2 linked regions of the Diceros bicornis minor genome follow. Each later gene encodes a partner of the first gene's protein in a complex. Links are inferred from orthologs where the notes say so. Each region holds a gene or a part of one and is shown on either strand. Other genes may lie near its edges.

Region 1 (3,747 bases):
AACACTTAGCTAAATTATCTCTTAACGTAGAGCTGAAAATGAAATGTCACTCAACTTAAGGATGATTGAAGCATTGTAGGCCATTCCCATGCTCACGTCTCAGATCACACATCTACTGTATCTATATTTGCAGAAGAGGGACACAGTGTCTAGGGTTAGCTAGAATGAATCCAAGTAATATTGCTTTTTAAAAAATATCCAAATAAAACGAATTGTTTCTATAGCAGTAATTCCCACCTTCGATTCTATATAGTTATGAAAATTTCCATAATCATTTAGGCAAGTATATGGCTATGTGAATGCGTGTTAATCTGGGGCATTTTTCCCCCTTCATAGACCTTGTGACTGGAGCTATTTTACAAATGTTTTTAAATGACTTCTTTTAAAATCAAAGGTGGTACTGTGGAGTTGAAAGCTTAAATACAGGGTCTGTCACTTGATGAGCTGTGAGACCTCGGGCAAATTATCTAACTTGTTTCCCTTTTTTTTTTTTTTAAGAAGTGACTTCTATTTATTTATTTATTTATTTCCCCCAAAGCCCCAGTAGACAGTTGTATGTCACAGCTGCACATCCTTCTAGTTGCTGTATGTGGGACGCGGCCTCAGCATGGCCGGAGAAGCGGTGCGTTGGTGAGCGCCCAGGATCTGAACCCAGGCCATCAGCGACAGAGCGCGCGCACTTAACCGCTAAGCCACGGGGCGGCCCATAACTTGTTTCCTAATCCGTTCCAAGAGACTTAATGACCACCTTAGGGTTAATCCTGAGAATTAAATGAAATAGAAGTCCCAGTCCCTGCCACACAAGAAATACCCAATAAAACTTGGTTTCCCATTACTATCTATCAAACGAAAAACTCACACTGCAAAACTAACGAACGAAACGCTGCGTCATAACGTGAATGCACACCAAGTTCCCGGGCCTGCCTTCTGAACCTCAAAGTGCGCAACCCTTGGAACCTAAACGAAAAGGAATGACTCAAATGGAAAAAGGAAGTTGCGGGGCCTGCATTTCTCCCGAGCCGTGGTGCGCGCAGAGTTGCCTGGTTACCCTCCTGGGAACTCGAAGAAGTCTACTCAGCCTGCGGACCCAGGCCCGCCGGCTCTCCCCACACGCGGGGGCCATCCCCAGCAAAGGACCTCCACCCAGGACTCTGCCCGTCTTGAAGCAGCTGGGCAGTGGAGTCAAATGTCCCTTTGCCGCCGCCGTAGGCCGCGACGCCCATCAGTGCGTTCCTATTGGCTGGCCAGGCTTGGCGCCAAAACGCGGAGGGGAAGCGAGGATCAGGAGCTGTGGGACCGGGAAAGATAGGAGCCGAGAGCGGCGGCCGAGAGCCCGGGGACCGTTTGTCGTGAGAGTGGGCGGCTCACAAGGCCGCGGGACCGGGGCGCGTCCGCCATGTTCTGCGAAAAGGCCATGGAGCTGGTCCGCGAGCTGCATCGCACACCCGAAGGGCAGCTGCCCGCCTTCAACGTGAGGGGGGCAGGGGCAGACAAAGATGGGCGTGCTGGCTGGCGGGGCCTGGAAGCCCCGGGGGCGGGACCGGGGGCGGGGCGGCTTCCCGCGGTTCTTCCTTGCGCCTTACCCGGAGGGTTTACTTTCTCGTGGTGTAAGCTCCAAAGTCGGGGGACAGAAGTTTTGGAACGTGGCAAGACAAAGTATAGGAGGAAAAAGAAAGCACTAATGTTTATGTCACCCGGCGATATTGTGAATTTCCTCCTATGTCTCCCTTAGTGTTCTCCGGTGTGCAGCTCTGCTGCTGTTCCTTTGTTGCACCAAGCATTGATTAGTAGTTGCCTGTGCTCTAGCATTTGTCGTGCACTCGGGCAGCAAAGGGTGGTGATTGAAAGCTAGGCCTGTGGAGCCAGGCTGGGATTCTGGCTCCATCGTGTGGCTTTGGGCGAGTTACTCAAGCTTTCTGTGCTGTTTTCGTCTCTGCAGAAATGGGGCCGATGGGAATAGTACCCAACTCCTGGTATGCTGAGGGCTGATGAGTTGGTGTATGTCAGGCTTTCTGAACAATGCTTGACACCCAGGAACGGCTAAGTCAGTGCTTGCTATTAATTTTCTTTCTGCCACTGCTGCTGCTACTCCTACTGCTCTTATGATTATTCTTATTTCCCTGTTACTGCTACCCCAGTCAGGGTGCTGAGCGCTTGACCTACATTATCTCTCTTTTTTTCTTTTTTTTAATTGAAGTAACATTGATTTATAACATTATGTAAATTTCAGGTGCACCTCGTTATATTTCCATTTCTGTATGGAGTGCATCATGGTCACCACCCAAAGACTAATTATCATACATCACTGTAACCTATATTATCTCTTGTTCTCATGGTAACCCTTTGAAGTCTAAACCATCTTTTATTTTCCATTTTTTTCCAGCTATCTGTTGGAAGCTTGGGGAGATTAAGTGACACAGCCAGTAAGAAGTAAAGCTCAGATTTAAACCCTGGCAGTTTGGCTCCAGAGCCTGAACTCTAGGTTCTATACTTGACTACATCCCCCGTCATAGGGCAGCCACAGTGTGGATGCCAGGGCACATTGTGCTGGGAGTGGGGCACGAAAACAGGTAATAGAATGTAATGTGATAGGTGATGCCGAAGAGGTGTAGAAAAGGAGCACAAAGGAGAAATGCCAGTGTGAGCTAGGGTACAGGAGGGGGCGTTTGAGCCATGCCTAGAAGGATGAGGTCACCACTCTGAGAAGGGAGTGAGGCGTCCCAGCCAAGTGCAGAGACGGGCAATCACATAGCAAAGGGTGACTGAAAGACAGGGTGTGTGCAGGGACTACAGAGGTGGGTTCCAGGCCTGGGAGAGTTTGGTATTCACTCATAAGGCATTTGGAAGCTGGCAGAGGATTTTAGACAGGGGAGTGAGAGGGTAATTTTTTATGTTTTGAGGATAACTATAGCAGCAGCAATATGGGGAATGGATTGGAGAGAAGAAAGAATGGAGGCAGGGAGATCGTTAGTGGGTGGTTAAAATAGACCAGATGATAGATGTGTATGGTCCAAACTGTGTCTGGTCAGTGGGCCCTGAAATCGGTGTCTGGCCTGTATGGGCTTGAGACAAACAAGACTTCTAACTATTAGAACAGAAGTGGAGATGGGGTGAGTAATCAGTGAGGAGGAGGAATCGGGATTTTGGGAGGCGCTTCTCTCAGGTGGCTGAGTAAACCACATTGGAGTTGAGGAGGAAGAGTGTTCGGGGGAGGGTGAGTTTTGTTTTGAACATTAAAGGGCACCTAGTCTGACAATTAGGTCATTTTACAGATGAGAAAACTGAGCCAACAGAAATTATGGATCAAGTTAAGGTACTTGTCTGAACTTACAGCATATTGGAGGAAGAGCCTCAACTTGAACACAGGTTTCCTAGATTCTAGTCTGTTGTTCTTTCAACTTCAGGACAGTTACCTCATTTAAAAAGTCAGGAGACAACAGTGGGAGTTTAGTAGAGATGCTGGAATGCAGAGGTATGTAGGCTCTAAAATATGGCTCCACGCTGGGGTCCGGACAACTAGGCACTTTGGAGTTCATGATGCACATGAGGAAACAAGCCCAGAGAGGCAGAGACTTCTCCAACAGGTGCTGGCTGAGGTGGCCTTGGAACCGGCTCTTAAGACTCTTAGTCCAGCTGGCCTTCTCACTCAAATTTTAAGATAAGTGTTGGTTTACTGCTTTTGGGGAGCCAGGGATGGAACTTAGAAGTTGTAAAATCACTCCTTTTTCTAGGTCTTAGTGTGGTGGG
Region 2 (3,747 bases), on another chromosome or scaffold:
TGAAGTCATCCAACTAGACGGTTACAGAGGTGGGATCTGGCCCAGGCAAGCCTACAATGACTCCAAATACTGTATTCTTCCGTCTAGTTTAAGCTATTTCAATAATACTTGTCATTTATTCATTTTTATATTTACATATAGAACATTACCAGGTCCATGTAAAACTTTAAGTACAACCGATCCCAACTGAGAAACAGCAGGAGTTCAGGGTTAGAATGAGAAGACTGCCAAAAGCCAAGACTCCTCCACTCTCAGTAGAACTCATCATTCTGTTAGCACAGGCAGTCACTCAAGTCCCCCTAATCATTGTGGCCACTCAGAGCTCCTCCGAGTTTCACTCTGTAATTTCAACGCTCCTCCTTTCTGAAGCTGTGTAGCATAAGCTACACAGCTCTACTCCACCTCTCCTGCTTTCCCACACCCCCAACTCTATCCCACCTCCATTCCCTTAGACCCCACTTTAACCCACTCACACTTAGTGACAATGCCCTCCACACAGACTACACAGCTCAGGAAGCAGGAGGTAAGAGTCCGGGGAGATACGTGCTTGGAGCCAAAGCTGCCCTCCAATCCAATGTAGAACTCCTCATACTGCTTGGCATAGGTAGCATCAATGGAGGCCACAAAATCCTTTAAGGCCCGCTGGAAAGCAACCAGCTCCTCAAAGGCATTGCTCAGGAGGCTAAACATGAGCAAGAGAAAGAATAATTAGGCGGAGATGGCAGAGCTCAAAAAAACTGACCCTCAAAACAGAAGTGAACATTCTTAGGTGATCAAGGCCAAGGAGTGAAAAATGTAGCTCCTACTTTCTCCTGCCATCCTACAAGACTCAGTAAAACAGACCAGAACCAAGGGCCAACTTGAATTCAACTCATCAAAGATTTAGAAATGATACTCAGCTAAACACGGAAGAAGGAGCTCTTGAGAGGAAAATGCCCACCACCTACTTTTGGAAGAAGATAAAAACATAGGAACAGGTGAGGAAAAGAGGGCTCCTAAGCCAAAAACATTTCATCCAGGTCCTTTCCTGGGAAGCCTGTTCCACTCTGGGGGGAGAGAGAAGGGAGCCATTCTCACCCAGAGCCAGGACATCCCCTTGGAAACCTTTGCCACTCACCGGTTAGCCCTCTTCTCATTTTTCCTGCGCAGGTCATTCACGTTGACAATCAACCGGGCTTGGTTGTCACTAATCAGCTCCCGAACTTTGCTCTGATAAATTCCCTGGTCTTCCTGCAAAATAGCCACCACATATAACAGCAGCCACACATTCAAAAATAAGATGTTTTTAAACAGAGGCAACTCTCGCAGCAAGATAAATAAGTCAATCTCCGCGGCAGAGCAGAACCCCAATTTCTCCCATATTTTCACTCACTAGCTTCAGATTCCAAACACACCCTAAGAGGACAGCGTAGGAATTATAATGACTTCCTTAAAGTCCATGCTATTATTCCTTTTATCATTATCGGCTTTTCTGTATGTAGTCATTTCTCAACCTTTAATGGGCAATTAAAACGAACTAATAAGAAGGACAGTAAGTAAGAAGCTTGTTAAAATGTTAATAAACGGGCTTTTAATATTCACATTAAAATGACTTTTAAGACATGTACAGAATTAAAATATTTTATTTTCCAATCATGTATATAATACAGAAAGAGTTCTCATATCCAGACCTAAAGGAGTTGGGAGCCTCAGCTATTTGTTTACAGACACAGCATTATCAACTCTTCAAGATGCTTTACCAACATTCTATGGCTTTCAAACTGGGTTGTGCACAAAACCCCCTTTACCTGCATACCAGACACTTTCTGCATCTCACCTGGTACTGAAAAAGAACGCGGCCAAATTAGGAAGTCAGTCACTAAAACCTGGGGACCCTGAAACGCGGCGGGTCACCACCGCTCTACAGCCCTACCTCCCCCTCCCTCCCTCCAAATTATGAGAGCAGGGAGCGACTTCTAAAAGGTCAAAGGGAGCTTTGCCATTTTATTTTTGCGAGCCCCGGCCATCATCTGTACTTGGGAGAAAGTCACAGGACCGCTCTCTAAGAGTTCCCCTACGGAAAACCGCTAACGACTGACTCCTCCGCTGGAACAGTGACCAGCTCGGGGTGGAGGGCTCCTGAGCCGAGTCCCGGCGGTCCTCCCGCTCCCGGCCCTGCGGCTCTGGCGTGGAGCGGCGTCCTGCGTGGCCTCCCTCGGCCCGTCCGCGTCCCCAAGGGCCCCAAGCGCCAGAGTCTCGCGACCCGGCGCCTCGCTCACCTCGTCATCCAAGAAGTCCAAGTAATCTCGCTGCGCCTCCCGCAGCTCCACATCGTCCAGCACCACGGTCCCCGCCATGCTTGCCGCCTCGGAACTGCCTCCTCCAGAGCCGCGCGGAGGGTCCCTGGATGACCCCGCCCCGGCGCGAAAACTTCCGAGCTTTTCCCGCCACCAGGGGTTACCTCGAGGAAGGGGCGGGGGCTCTGGAAGCGTATAAACATTCTGATTGGCTGACTCCTCTGACGCCAGAATAGTGAGTATCCAATCGAGAGCTGCTGCTGCTTCGCGTTTTCCGATCTGCGCCCCGCTGTGGCGGGAAATGTGCCATCCGGGGCCTTCTGTTTCTCCCCTCCCCGCTCCGCCCTCACTGACGGGAGAGCTGACCAATGGGGCCGAAGGGAGGCTCGCGGAGCCTGATCATTGGGCGGCCCAAGGCGCCGGATGCATTCTGGGAGTCGTAGTCTTGATATTCTGTCCCCTGACCTGCCGCAGAGTGAATGAACTCAGCGCGGCGGTTGTACTGAGAACAGGCTGAAAGTCAGAGAATGGGGGTTCATAATGCAGGGAGATGAAAACATAAAAGCAATTTTATTTTAAAATATATTCAGATCTGGCGTGCTAGATATGTTTCTCAAGCAACTATCCTCAACTGGCCTCCAGGGGAAAAAAAGTGAATTTTGACAATCCGTGGAATGGAAAATAGAATCCTAGCTTCTTTGGGAAGGGTTGTTTAGTTCAGCGACCCATTTGCTCTCTGAATACTGTTGCCTGAAGTACCCCATAAAAATATCAGACCGCGGAGGAGGGTGAAGTGAAAAAAATTTTCGGCATGTACCCCGCCCCCTAGAGATGGCCTCATGTGTTGAACAAACTTTGCACAAAATTACTGCACCATCTTACTTGCAGATGGGTAAGTTAAAGGCTTTCTCGCCTTGTAGGAAGATCACAGGACCTTTTTTAAAAACTTAGTTTATTGAAAGACAAACACAAGGAGAAACAAAAAAAGTGTTTCAAGCCACTCCAGTATCAATCAGTAATTAAGATATAGCAAATCTGAAATTATAAATAATTAAGAGATAAATTGCATGTCCAAGTGTTTTTTTGCTTGCTTTTAGTCTTTTGTGGTTTGTTTAGATTTTTTAGTTTCATTTTTGAGGTATAATTTATATACAGTAAAATGCACAAATCTTAAGGGTGCAGCTCAATGAATTTTTATTATGTATACATCCATGTAACCACCCGGTGCACAATAAAGAACAGTCTCACTGCCCCAGCGTGTGTTTTTGATTTTACTGAATGGGAAGCTAAAATACCAGATTGCCTAATACTAGACACCTGGTAATTCTACAGCAGAAATTGCGGCCAACTAATTATTAGTTTATGTTCAAAGGTCTCTAGGACTCACTGTGCCCTGATAAATATTCTCAGTATAATCTACCTAAACAAAACATATATGCCATCTATTTGTACGTGTATATATATTTTTAGT

What was found. The genes of interacting proteins can lie anywhere in the genome.
Region 2: GINS1 (region 1) and MCM3 share a complex: the UniProt entries of both Homo sapiens proteins name them as parts of the CMG helicase complex. The link is inferred for Diceros bicornis minor from reciprocal best matches to the Homo sapiens genes GINS1 and MCM3.

What each region holds. Positions count from the first base shown.
Region 1 is NC_080758.1:51,386,339-51,390,085, forward strand, and holds the start of GINS1 (DNA replication complex GINS protein PSF1), read left to right. Parts: upstream 1-1,290; 5' UTR 1,291-1,396; coding exon 1,397-1,471; intron 1,472-1,613; exon of another isoform or gene 1,614-2,570; intron 2,571-3,747. UniProt on the Homo sapiens protein: Required for correct functioning of the GINS complex, a complex that plays an essential role in the initiation of DNA replication, and progression of DNA replication forks.
Region 2 is NC_080753.1:14,602,045-14,605,791, reverse strand, and holds the start of MCM3 (DNA replication licensing factor MCM3), read right to left. Parts: upstream 2,396-3,747; 5' UTR 2,337-2,395; coding exon 2,259-2,336; intron 1,231-2,258; coding exon 1,118-1,230; intron 683-1,117; coding exon 474-682; intron 1-473. UniProt on the Homo sapiens protein: Acts as a component of the MCM2-7 complex (MCM complex) which is the replicative helicase essential for 'once per cell cycle' DNA replication initiation and elongation in eukaryotic cells.